Linked DNA regions of Kluyveromyces lactis. Each later gene encodes a partner of the first gene's protein in a complex. Links are inferred from orthologs where the notes say so. Each region holds a gene or a part of one and is shown on either strand. Other genes may lie near its edges.

The links.
Region 2: MEC3 (region 1) and RAD17 share a complex: the UniProt entries of both Saccharomyces cerevisiae proteins name them as parts of the checkpoint clamp complex. The link is inferred for Kluyveromyces lactis from reciprocal best matches to the Saccharomyces cerevisiae genes MEC3 and RAD17.
Region 3: MEC3 (region 1) and DDC1 share a complex: the UniProt entries of both Saccharomyces cerevisiae proteins name them as parts of the checkpoint clamp complex. The link is inferred for Kluyveromyces lactis from reciprocal best matches to the Saccharomyces cerevisiae genes MEC3 and DDC1.

What each region holds. Positions count from the first base shown.
Region 1 is NC_006039.1:438,864-445,446, reverse strand, and holds MEC3 (Mec3p), read left to right. Parts: upstream 1-3,516; coding exon 3,517-4,677; downstream 4,678-6,583. Other genes in the region: FRE5 (putative ferric-chelate reductase), read left to right, coding at 1-10; PET18 (Pet18p), read right to left, coding at 496-1,158; GTPase GUF1, read right to left, coding at 1,385-3,280; SER1 (O-phospho-L-serine:2-oxoglutarate transaminase), read right to left, coding at 4,684-5,862; RPS30A (40S ribosomal protein eS30), read left to right, coding at 6,409-6,411. UniProt on the Saccharomyces cerevisiae protein: Component of the checkpoint clamp complex involved in the surveillance mechanism that allows the DNA repair pathways to act to restore the integrity of the DNA prior to DNA synthesis or separation of the replicated chromosomes.
Region 2 is NC_006042.1:16,100-19,294, forward strand, and holds RAD17 (Rad17p), read left to right. Parts: upstream 1-1,582; coding exon 1,583-2,695; downstream 2,696-3,195. Other genes in the region: KLLA0_F00286g (uncharacterized protein), read left to right, coding at 1-39; ubiquitin-protein transferase activating protein PEX22, read right to left, coding at 968-1,438; RPS12 (40S ribosomal protein eS12), read right to left, coding at 2,947-3,195. UniProt on the Saccharomyces cerevisiae protein: Component of the checkpoint clamp complex involved in the surveillance mechanism that allows the DNA repair pathways to act to restore the integrity of the DNA prior to DNA synthesis or separation of the replicated chromosomes.
Region 3 is NC_006041.1:1,723,599-1,727,189, forward strand, and holds DDC1 (Ddc1p), read right to left. Parts: upstream 2,163-3,591; coding exon 501-2,162; downstream 1-500. Other genes in the region: pyruvate transporter MPC1, read left to right, coding at 1-302; APL5 (Apl5p), read right to left, coding at 2,352-3,591. UniProt on the Saccharomyces cerevisiae protein: Component of the checkpoint clamp complex involved in the surveillance mechanism that allows the DNA repair pathways to act to restore the integrity of the DNA prior to DNA synthesis or separation of the replicated chromosomes.

The sequences.
Region 1 (6,583 bases):
GGTCTGGTGAAAAAAATAAAAGATTCAGCTTTTATTCTACTCTCATACATGCTCTACCAGGTTTTGTTCGATTCTATTTTTCGGGTACTGGGAATATCCCTAATTTCTGAATCAGCACCACTTGTTCACCGAAGACTCTTTTATTTATGATATGGTCGTTTATTTAATTTGGAAAGAACCACCTGGTTCATGATAAAGTTTACGATCGACCAAGGCTTACTTCAGTTAACTTATTTTGTATAAATGTATATATTCTATGAAAAATCTCAAAAGATTCGAATGTTATCTTCTTTGAGATGGTTTTACTCTGTTCAGCCGTGCCTAAGCATTTCGATGTAAAAGTCATAACCACTTTTTATGTATGAAATTTAGTTAAAATGAAAACAGTATCAAGTCATTGGAGCAATATTGAAACGAGAATAAGATGCACAGTGGTATCAAGTACGGCTTTATTTGAACTTACGTCGATGGTAAAAAATTCTGTAAGTAACTTGTTTATTTGGCTGCTTCAAGACAGGAATCGAAGAAATCTTTTTCAAGCTCTAACGTGGTAACAAAAATTCTGCTTACGTCTTCATACTGCAGTTTATCCACTTCACCTGCCAAGAAGTTACACCACTCCTCAAAATGATCGCCATCGTGTAGTTTTATCCATTCCTCATGTTTCCATTCTAATTTGTCTGACCTGGGCAAATCGTGCGCCCATTTCCAATACACATACTCTGCACACCACATATGAGTGACCCATTGTCCATAATCAACAGAGGCGGGCATCTTTTCCAAGAAATCAAGGTATTTCTGAACCTTTGGTAACACTTGGGTCTTGAATCTTTTAAGAGGGTCCCGTTCAGTTATCTGTAAACATTGATCAAAGTAGTCATTCTCTTCACCTGCCAAGAACCCAACTTGTTTACAGAGACGTAGTAAAGCTTCCTCACTTGGTGCTCTTGAAGAGTAAAAAGCGAGTAGACGGAGGGCTAATACGAAGAATTTTTTGTCTTGAGCGCAGTAGATATATAGAACATCATCTGATAATGTTCCATTGCAAAGCTCTTTAGGCAAAATATGATTTGTGACTGATTGCAATAGAGCTCTGTTTGCATTAATTAGCCTTTCAGTAGTGGACATAGTTGATAACGTTAGTTTGATGGCTTTCATCTCTTCTAAGATGTGTGTGGTACTGGAAATACTTTGATGTTTGGCGAAGCACCTGCTTATATATAATTGTTTCTAATTTCTAAGAACACCCCATGCTAATTCGGGGCAATTGTAACCGCACACATCATATTCGCTGGAAAATGGTATTAAAAGGCAAATAATGAGATTTGGTATGACTATATACAGAATTAAATATAATAAATTGATGTGAAAACCTCTGATGGGTTCAACGACGTAAAAAGGATTGAAAAGCGTCTTGATTGATCTGGATGTTACCGACAGTTTTCATGTTCTTTTTCCCTTGTTTTTGTTTAGATAAAAGCTTTTTCCTACGTGAAATGTCACTTGCATGAAGCTTGGATAAAACATCCTTTCTCTTAGCTTTTATTGTCTCTCTTGCAATGATTTTATTATTGGCTCTGGCTTGAATGACCACTTCGAACAATTGAGATTTTATGAACTTTTTGAATTTTTTTACCCATTCCTTACCGATATGCTCTGTTTGATCTCTGTGCATAACTTGTGCAAGAGCATCCACACTTTTACCATTAACAAGAAGCTCTAGCTTCACTATATCGCTTTGTTTGTATCCTACATCTTCATAATCGAGAGAAGCATACCCTCTGGAAACAGATTTTAATTTCCCGAAAAAATCGTCCACTAAGTAAGAGAGCGGTAGCTCATACCTTAGCATCACCTGGCCAGTCATGTTCAAGTATGTAATCTCTTTCTGGACTCCATGGCTGTCATCACATAATTGTATTACTTTACCGAGATATTCCTGGGGTAATGTCATGATAGCTTCGACGAATGGCTCTTCAAGAGACTCGAGATTTGATCTCCGTAAGGAAAGGTCGGGGAAGTCATCAGGATTTGTTATAATTTTCTTCTCGCCATCTTTGAACTTAATTAGGAATGGTACAGTAGGTTGCGTTAAGATAAGCTTGGATCCATACTCTTTCTCTAACCTCTCCGTGAAAACAGATGCGTGAAGAGATCCTAAAAATCCTAATCTCCAACCTTGGCCTAGTGCATTTGACGTTTCTCTTTGGAGGGACACTGATCTATCATTTAAGACGAGTCTACTAATATCATCGTCTAACGCTTTGAATTCGGCCCCATCAGCAGGGAAAGCTCCTACGAAGACCATGGGTTTTGGTTCTTCAAATCCTGGTAACACTTCAGTAATCGATTCTTTACCGAGATGCATCAAAGTATCACCAATCTTGGCATCCTTAGATTCTTTCATGCCAGGTACCAAATACCCGACTTGACCTGATTTCAGTGTGTTAGTAGCGACACGATCTGGGTACATTATACCGCATTCCCTCACTTCATACTTCAATCCATTTGCGGCAGTGATGATTTTATCTCCTCTTTTCACTTGACCATCAACTATATGTACAAGAAGCACCACTCCTAAATAAGAGTCATACCACGAATCCACCAATAATGCACGTAATGGTTTCTCAACTTTACCGGTCGGAGGAGGTATTCTATCAACAATAGCGGGTAACAATTGCTCGACGTGCAATCCAGTTTTAGCACTAACTTTGATACAATCTGACTTAGGTAGCTCGAACATATTTTCAACCTGTTCTTCTGCTTGGTCAATGTCAGCAATGTCCAAGTCAATCTTGTTTATGACAGGAATAAGTTTCAAATCCATACTATAAGCGAGGTAAAAGTTTGCGACTGTCTGTGCTTGAACACCTTGGGAAGCGTCAACGAGTAACAAAGCGCCACCACACGATGCATACGATCTTGAAACTTCAGCACGAAAATCCACATGGCCCGGTGTATCCACTAAATGTAAGAGATAGTCCAATTTCGTTCTAGGATCCTGGTAAAACATGGAGCATGTCTGTGCTTTGATTGTAATCCCTCGCTCTCTTTCCACCTCAAGCTTATCTAAAACTTGCTTACCACCTGGCTTAATCACGTTAGTGAGCTCTAAGAGTCTGTCACTGAGTGTAGATTTACCATGATCAACATGAGCCACTATAGAAAAGTTACGATATCTTTCAATTGGAATGGCATCGATCCTCTCTTGTAATGAATGATTACTTCTAACTTGTTGAAAGGCATACCTCACATGTCGAAGCAACCTCCTATTGAACATAATTATCGGGTCTGAAATTTAGAACTCGTAGCTCTATAAGCCTTTCTCTTTCGTCTATCGTTTAACGTCTAGAATTTATGTTTATAGATCTTCCAGTCATTAAACATTGTTGGCAACGAATTGTTTAAATTTGATGTTTATGGCCGTTCAGATCTAAAGTTCAACTTTAACTCATACATACAAAGGGAATAACAAAAAAACGTGATAGCAAGCTAATCCTCGGGACGAATTTTGCAATGAAACTAAAACTAAGTATTCAAGCAGGTACTGAGGACTACTCATTGTTCAGGACAACGTTGATAACGGTGTCCAAACTACGAAAAACATGTATTTTAAGATTTACCTCTTCTAGGCTGGTCATTATATCAACACCAAACAGTACAGGAACGGTCATAGATCAGGGTCAAGTTTGGTGCACAGTCCCACACGATGTGTTTGACACATATGTAGTTAATTCAATTCGAGAAGATAATAGAGTCGCCATGGAGTGCCCCTGTGATACTATTGTCGGCGTGCTGCGGAAATTCGATAAATGCAACGCAACTCAATTGACCATCAAATTGGTAAGATTGGTAACTGTTGACAAGGAAAGTGAAGCAGCTGCAGCTGCTCACAATACAGACAATACACTCTGCGGATTAAGCTTTTCATTTCAAGATACACGAGATGAAAGGACGATACAGCATAATATTAAGGTCGGCGTCAAATTACTGTACAATGCTCAAGACGAGAAGATAGTAGAACCAACAGTTAATTATGTGGGGATTTTGATGTTACAACTTCCGAGTCACGTAAGTGAATGGGGTCCAGGTTTTAATGCGTTTTTTAAGCGAATAGAACGATACGGAAATGTCAATACACTCAAGATACATGGCGAACAATTGGGCGAAAAGGGTTCACTGAAGGTAATTGTTGATGAATTTGACTGGAAACTTAACATCGCATGGAAAGGCCCGTTAGATGCAATGCTCAATGATATGGAAGGTGATGATTCACACTCTGATCCAAGAGATGATACGCTTCGACACAACGGTGAGACAAATGCAGAGTCATCCCCATCACCGGTAGCATGCAATGAAATGCATATTGAGGACAGTGATGTCTTGGACACTGGTATACACGGAAAATCCATTGATCGACATTCAACAATGCTAGAAAACGCTTCTGCTAGGCAATCACAAGACAAGTTGAAAGGTCACGAGGTTATAGTAAGGGTTCGTGATTGGAAAGTTTGTTCTAAACTTTATGAATCATTTGAAGAAGTCGTTCTAGTGATATCACACGATGACTCTTGTGTTTTCCATTGCTCTTTGGAAAGAGGCATTGACAGAGATGAAAACAATAAGGAGAAGGGTCAAATTATTTATTACATAAGTAAATGTAAATCGTTAAACTGATCACGATCATTGATTGTTCTCTGCAAACTTGGTGACAAAATCGACTAACAGCTTAACACTAGACAATTCAACAGCATTGTACAAAGATGCTCTGAACCCACCTACTGATCTGTGACCCTTGAGCCCAGTTAGATTTAGCTTAGTAGCTTCTTCCAAAAATTTAGAATCCAAACCGTCCTTCTTAATGGTGAAGACTACATTCATTTTTGATCTGTATTTTTTGTCTACTGGCAGATTGTAGAACTCTGGGAATTTGTCTAGAGCTTCATACAAGATCTTAGCTTTTTCCTCGTTTTCTTTTTGTTGGCTCTCAATTCCCCCTTGTTCCAATAGGCGTTGTAAAACTAAGTCAATGATATGTAAGGTGAAGATAGGAATGGTGTTATAAGCAGAGTCATTTTTCACTACAGTTGGATAATCAGTGGCAATTGGTGAGACTGGTAGAGAAGCATCCCTCAATTGCTTTGGAGAAACTTTTGCAATGTCATCCAGTATGTCTTTTTTAATGATGTACAAGGTCAACCCTGCTAACCCAATGTTTTTCTGAGCACCCGCCATAATCAAGGAATAATCAGCGACATTGATCTTACGGGACAAAATGTCAGAGGATAAATCCGCGACGATAGGAACCTTTGAGTCAATCAATTCTCGAGGCAATTGCTCTGGCCATTCAACACCGTGAACTGTTTCATTTTCACAAAGATACACATATGAATGCTTCTTAGCATCCAATTTCTGGACCCAAGTGCTTGATTCTGGGATAGTTCCAAATCTACCATTGTCTTTCTTCACATTAAAGATAACCTCCGTTGGAACACCTAACCTTTCGCTCTCCTGAGAAGATTTTTCAGACCATGAACCAGTGATCAGGTAGGCTGCAGTACCTACCTCACCGGTCTTACCGAAATGAGCTGCAGACAAGTTGGATGCAACGGATGAAAACCCCGTGGTGCCACCACCTTGCAAGAAAAAAACTTCGTGGGTATCTGGAATTGCAAACAATTCCTTCAAATGAGCCTTAGTATCGGTAATAACCTTAGCAGCAGCCTTAGAACGATGAGAGATTTCACCAATACCCAGACCTTCATCCTGGAAATTGATCAAATCCTTGGCAGCCTGTTGTAAAACTGGCAATGGTAATTGTGCTGGTCCAGCACCAAAGTAGTTCGATTGAGGTCTATCCATTGGTAATATAATGTGAGTTTCACGGACTGGCGGCCTTGTAATATACTGCTAAGGTCTTAAATCTGTTAAATTGCAGTCAACAAGACGGCAACTTGCTTGATCCATCGTTTAATCATTTCATTTAAATATTTAATATTCGTATTGACTAATTATTACTTGTAATACAAATGATGATCCCCAAGTCTAAGTCACGTGAAATGGCATGGATCATTCTTTTGGAACATACAGAGGACTGTCTTCGATCCCAACAAACATCCATACACCATTATAATTCTCTTCATGAAATACATCCAGACATCCAACGTCATATTACACAAAAATATCTGAAACACCCGAAATATCCCTAAACGGGAAATTATTGGCTGTATATTTTAGAAAAGTTTCAGCAGTTTGTGAGGAGCTTAGAGGTCAAACTTATGGAAACTTAGTTTGTAATGAATTTGAAGGTCGAAATGTACTCTGTACATAAGATTAGACATAGCAAAGGTTTATTGAATCTCCACTCTTTTTGATTACATTAAAGAAGCAGAACAAACTACAGACAAAATGGTACGTTAACTGTGTAATATATTGTTGGACTGGCGAGCGTTTATGAAACAAGAATGCGAAAATAGCAAGATAAGAAGGCACAAATCATTAATGAATAAGGAGTTAAGAAAATATAATGGGATAAAGGACAGAAACACCAGTAAGATCAGTGGCAAATACTAGTACCAGAAGT
Region 2 (3,195 bases), on another chromosome or scaffold:
ACCGATTTTGAAAACAAAAGATTTATCTACCCACTATGAGTTACCTTTAGTAGGAGTGTATAATTTTGGGATGGAGCAACTATCATTCTGTAAATCGTTCGTCAATTTCTACAAATTTACCCAAAGCTCTGTTCTTTTCAACTGCATATATCCACATTTCTAGAACGTCATTTTATGGAAATATTGTATATTTGAAAATGGGGCATCGCTATGTGGACGAGTACGAATAGAGCCTTTCACAATCCATAAATAGCTCCAAAGACACATAAGCAGAAATTTCTTGTGTTATCGTGGAAGCTATTACTATGGCTTTGTTGATCCTGCATATCAAATAGCATTAACAAGCCACTCTTTCTTTTAAGTTGCTGAAATATCAGTTAATAACTGTCAGTCCAATTATTTCCTCAAAAGAACATTGTCTTGCTACACTTCACTGCACTATCCTTTGGTCCTTAGGATCAATTATATAAGCGCCAAAATAAAGAGGTAATGAAGATCAGTTTTGAAATTGGCGATAACATTTTATTTCGGCCCTATGCTGTGCTATACCATCCTGTCTCTAAGACAGTTCCTAATATTATATCATTGAGGCCATTCTGTTAAGGAATGCTGTTTTTTTTTATATTGATTCCAGTGCATGTTGAGGCAGGAGTAAGGATGTGAGAAATCTAGTAACCTTCTTCGGGTGATACAATGCGTATGTCGGCTTTCTGCTTTTACAGTACTTGATTGTTTAATAAAGTCCTTCAGCTTGCATGTTGTTGTTATAGCCGAGTACTCTTTATTTGTAGAATACACAATCACGAACATCAAGCATAGTATGCATTGCAGTTCAATAGCAAATTTCAATATGGTAGATTTCTAACCATTTCATTCAGCCAGAAGTTCTGTTAGAGATAAGTTTACGATGTAAACATTATAGTACTATTATAATAGCATACATTAAAACTGATGTAAATTTCAGATTTCAAATGTGCGAAATCTGTCCCACATACCTCCTGAGATCTACTGGCATATCAGAAGTCTTATCACGACTTATTACCAACTCGTATTTCTTTAAATGCCTAACTGCACTCCAAACGGCCGATGAATTGTTAAAGATGACAATCTTATGTTCAATAGACGATAGCTGTAACTTTAAATGATTTCCTAAGTGGGCAACTTCTGGTAAAACTAACATTACGCTGTCTTTTGATAGTTCTTCTTGCCAATTTTCGATCTTATCGAACAAGTCTTGTGTAAGAACGTAACATTTCGACTTTGGTTTTACGTCTCTTATATTCGGGTTTCGCTGGCCACGATACAGATATAATAAATAACCTACAGTTACTGCCACTGTCGATAATACCCCAACAGCTATAATCGAAAGCTTCTTTTGCCGGGCTTGCTTCATAAGGGACTTGTTTAGCCAATTGGTGGTTTCCTTATCTCCTCGCATATAATGGCAATGAGGTTTCTATTTATGATTTTGATTCCATTTCACTTGTTTTTATAAACAATATATCAGTATGTACAATACATAAATAAGTAGAAACCAGAGAACCGTCAACATCTTGAACCCTTAATCTTTCGGCAACCCACAATGATAGATTCTCCTATTTTTTATGCGACGACTGTCCATTTGGATCATATTGTGACGGCTTTGAATTGTTTAACACCTTTTGGAGTGAAAGGTGAAATGCTCATCACCATAGATAAAAATGGTTTGTCCTTTGCCCAAGAAAACAATCATGTAATCAAGATCCAATTGGTTCTTTCACGGGAGTTATTTCAAACCTTTCACTATAGCCCGATAACTGAAACATCTTTGACCAAGGTATCCCTGCGGCTTGACCATGTATTGGATAGTTTGAATATCAGTAACGATCGGAACGATATAATTGAGTGTACTTTAACATATAATGGGGATGGATCCCCATTCATATTAATATTCGAAGATAACATGATCACTGAAAGCGTCGAATACTCAACATATCTGCTCAAAGACTTAGACAACACTGGGTTGGTACTAGATAGAACGCGACTGCAATTCGAATGCATAATAAAAGGGGATGTCTTACACAATGCCTTACACGATTTGAAGGAAATTGGATGCAAAGATTGCTATTTTTATGCGATACATAACGAAACCACCAAAAAGCCCTTATTCGCATTGATTTCAAGATCTCAACAAGGTTTATCTAAGATCATATTACCTAATGAGAGATCGATTTTAGAGAAGTTCGAAATATACGCAAATGATTCAACCACCCTCTTATATGATCATCCAATGATAAGTGTTTTTGATTATGGAATGCTAGACAAAATACGAGCCAGTGCTCGGATTGCTTCAAAAATCATGATACGTAGAGATGTACATGGTTTGATGACTGTTAATATATTGAATGAAACGAAGGATATACTAAGACCTAATGACCAGGAGTATAAGAGGACTAGAGCCATTTCAGGTAACAATCTACCAAGTCATTATCCTGGGATAATTATTGAGATATGCATGCTTGAGAAAGCTCTTCCAGAGCTTCCAGACGTAAATGAGATAAAAGTAATGATGATTGAATATATGGGAAGTGAATCGCGCCATAATTTCCTTCCCAATACACAACAACCGCCGAAGAAAACTGCACATGACGATAAAGAAGAGGAAAATAGTGACGGGTATGAAGCTGCTTCGCAAGATTTGCCGCTATTCTTCTAGCGCAACCCTGCTTCGACAAGCTGAATTAATCAGGTTGGAATTAACGTCATTTTAGGTATAGATGGAAACTATTTGTAAACATATAGATACCCTAGAATATATATACAAACTATAAAATAGAGCATTTTATCAAACCAAACAATGTCCATATTCCCATGAAGAAATCTGTTTATGTTATTGTTGAGTATGAGAAAAATGAGTAAAACAGAAGCGTTAAATTGGATTTGAACATAGATTCAAAATCCACTCATTTATTGTTGGCTGAAATGTTCCAAAAGAATTTCTCTTTCTTGGGTGTCAGCACCCCAGTTCTTAACAACAACAACGGAAGCACCGACGACCTTTCTGGCGTTACCGTCACGGTCGATCTTACCCAAACCGGCCCATTCACCTAATTGCTTGGCATCAGCAACCTTGATTAATGGAACGTTGTTTTCAGTGGCCAAACCTTGGACCAACTTGCTGATGGCTTCTTCAGTAACCGATTCAACCAAAACAGC
Region 3 (3,591 bases), on another chromosome or scaffold:
ATGTCTTCACCACACATTTCTGGGGTCCAGTTTCAAACTTCGGTATCCCAATTGCTGCCATCTACGATTTGAAGAAGGATCCGGAGATGATTTCTGGACCTATGACGCTGGCTCTAGTGATGTACTCTGGTGTGTTTATGAGATATTCCCTAGCTGTTACCCCAAGGAACTTCTTGTTATTCGGTTGTCACGTTGTGAATGAAACAGCCCAACTTGTGCAAGGTTACAGATATTTAAACCATCATTATCTAGGTGGCAAGAAAGCTGACGCTACTGACGCCAATGTCGCCAAGACAGCCTAGATGCAAGAGAAAATGTAACCTGCCGACAAAACAACATTCTTTCTCCCATGGCTTAGATTACACTACTGTGTAGGTCTGTTATCTAAGATTTAATGCTAAGTTTATTTACGTACTGTATATTATATGTCTATATGTTCAATTACAGTTTATGAATTCATTTCGAAATGAAAAATAAAGTACTTCTTTCGTTCTTTATTATCAAGAGTCGAACAAACCTTTAGGTCTGTCAGCTTGTGTGGGACCCATGCCATCATCTTCTTCCTGTAGATTGAGATCTTCTTGGATTGCTTGTCTTTTCAAATTATTTAGATAAGCAGCCTTGTTCATTTCTCTTTGATGAGATTCATCTGTACCGACATTGTTCGATTCAATTGTTCCTCCCCATTCGACAGTTGTTCTCATTCTCTTTACTGGCTCGCTAATTGACGGCTCGGTTGTTGTGTTCGATGGTGTTGACTGGGAGCCAGTGTTTGAATTGGGAGTAGTGTTACTATTTTGTTTCCCCCACCTTTTAAACCTGAATTGCCTTCCTTCTTCGTCTTCGTCATCATCATCTGCTCCATCCTCATCCGTTATAAATAGTGAGCGTTTTGTATGTGGATACAGCATCTGCTTACTTTCCGGCCTTTGAAGCTTATCTGGTTTCACTACGGTATCCTTCTTGATTGGTGAAACTATCTTTTCTGGTGACAGGTTAAATTGGGTGACAGAATCCTCTGGTTCTTCGACCCTACCCTCGGTATCAGTTACCTGCACTAATTCCAATACAACCCCATCTTTTGTTATTTCAAAGAGAATGGGGTCACCAGGTTGGCAAAACCAGATTCTTATCATGTCATTTGTTTTCCAACAATTAAGTCCATTTAAGAATACTTTGAAATCTCGTAATTTGAACGTAATGCTCTTCTTAATACTTTGTGATCTGCTTGAAGGTCTCGAACCGTCGTTTTTTTCTGTTGAAAATATGCAGTAATGTTCTAGATCATTTGCGCTACATGTATTCGTTACTGTAACTGCTTGTTTGAGGTACCCTTGACTTTTCATGTTGTACACGGCTTTTGTAAATCCTATTATGGCTAGAGTATGTCTCGTCAATTCCAATTTTATTTCCTCGATCACATTAGACATAATAGAGTCAATGAAGTTTCTTAGTATTGATTGATCAAAACTTAAGAAGTTGATTTCGTCGTTAACCGTCAACGGTGTATTTTTCACTGTGCTCACAATATTGTGTTCATTGGCGATACCTCTATTAAACATATCATGTTCTAATTCTGTTTGTAAAGATTTGAAATAATCCACTAACCGAGGATCTAATGATCTGCCCTTACTTTTGTTGTTGTATACTGAAAGGAATTTTTGTTTATATTTCAGACTTAATATGATCTGAACACTTTCCAATGGATCAAAATTAACTTGATATTCTTTAGTTAGCAAAGATGCTGTCTTCATTTTGATTATGAGTTTGTTAGCTATAGTTTCAGAACAATTATCACAATTGTCGATAGTTAACATGTATTCTTTAATTGTATCCTCTTGTTTAAGTGATAATAGGGAAAGATACTTTGCATTCGCTTTGAAACTATAAATTGTGTGAAGAATGTCATTACAATCGGTGATCTGCTGCACTCCAGATTCACCAAATACAATCTTCTTCGGCTCGAAGTGATACTCTGTAAAGAACGACTTAGGAAATCGTACCTTGGCCATGGTCGTGTCTGTTGCATTCATGGATGATATCAATACACCATTTTCGGTGATTGTTATGAAGACATCAGGGTTTATTTGAGAAAGAGTTGCCAAGCATTTACCCCATATGGTCTGTTCATTCGTGCTGTTTATGGAAGCACGAAATGACATTGCAATGGCCTGTTGTCACAACTTCCAGTCAGAATCCCTTTATCTGGCGGTGATAAAAAACTCTTCACTAGATCTAAAGTTCGTGTTTTTTCTTGCAATTACGTGATTTATCTTTTTACAGATTAAATATTTGAACCTATGTCTATAAAGAAATAGTGCGAATGGATTAGTGATTATATTAATCTGTTATTATGATTCGTTTGGAGCTAGAGAAATTGCTGGAGTTGAAGCTTTTTCAGCGGGCTCTTTATATTTTTTCTTAGTCTTTTCCTTCTTACTGCCATCTTTGGTTTTCTTCTTCTTTTTCTTTTTAATAACTATGACTTCTTCTTTGTCATCTTGGATGGCTGTTAAATTGTCACTAATGTGTTGTTCTGCAAGTTTATTTTTTAGCTTTTCCAACTCCTCTTGATCAACAGTGTATTCACCGTCGTAATCAATGTTATCCTTTCGACTAAAATCAAAAGATTTGAATTTATTCGATGTGGAAAGAGTTATCGCATCTGAATGCCCAGAAGTATTTGATTTCTTCTTCCCCTCCTTTGTGATAGTGGATGGTGGAGCCACTACAATATCTGACAAAATTTGTACAGATGGTGACTTATTAGATTTCTTCTTTTTCGTCGAAATTTTGATGACGGGTTCGATTGTTTTTGTTTCACCCTCATCATCGTTATCACTCAATTCTATCAATTTCGTTTCTGCACGGTCAATTTTATCATCATTCAAATAAAACGGATTATCCAACCTCTCTTGTCTTCTGCGCTCTTCTAAAGCAGCAAGTTCTTCTTCTGTCATTGAAATGTCTTTCTCTGACGAGATATCCTGAGTTACAGATCCGTCAGAACTTCCAGCGCTTGCAGCAGATTTAACGCTCTCCTTGTCGGAATAATATGCAGCTTCATCTTCATATAGTTCTTCATTTTTCATTAATTCTTCGAGTTCAACAGAAGATAAAAATGGAGTGTCTAAATCGAGTGTTAACGCCTTAACCAACTGCTGTTGTTGTCCGTGTGACATTGGGCCAAGTTCATACTCATTGAAAAGACTAGGTAAAACGTCGGTAATTAATAGAGGTAACCCTTCCGTTTCATCTTGCAAAGCATCTTGACAGAGTTTTAACATTTCATAGAACTCTACGCTTCGTTCTTGTATATCAAAATTCGTTGATCTGTATTTTTGTTCCATGAATGCGATTAGTGTAGAAAGAAGATCTGATATTTCAGATTTGGTTCTACCCTCTGTGTTAGCATAGGTTGAGAATAATTTCACTAATGCAGGAATCATTGTCTGTATCACGGTGTCTGGAAGTTTATTGGCTTTGTTTAGGAGTATGCCAACGAGAGTGTCACAGTTATCAATTAACTCGGAATATTCCCCAAAGCACCATATTCCTTCCTTTAGTAGGTTAGGAAGCTTGGCGATAATA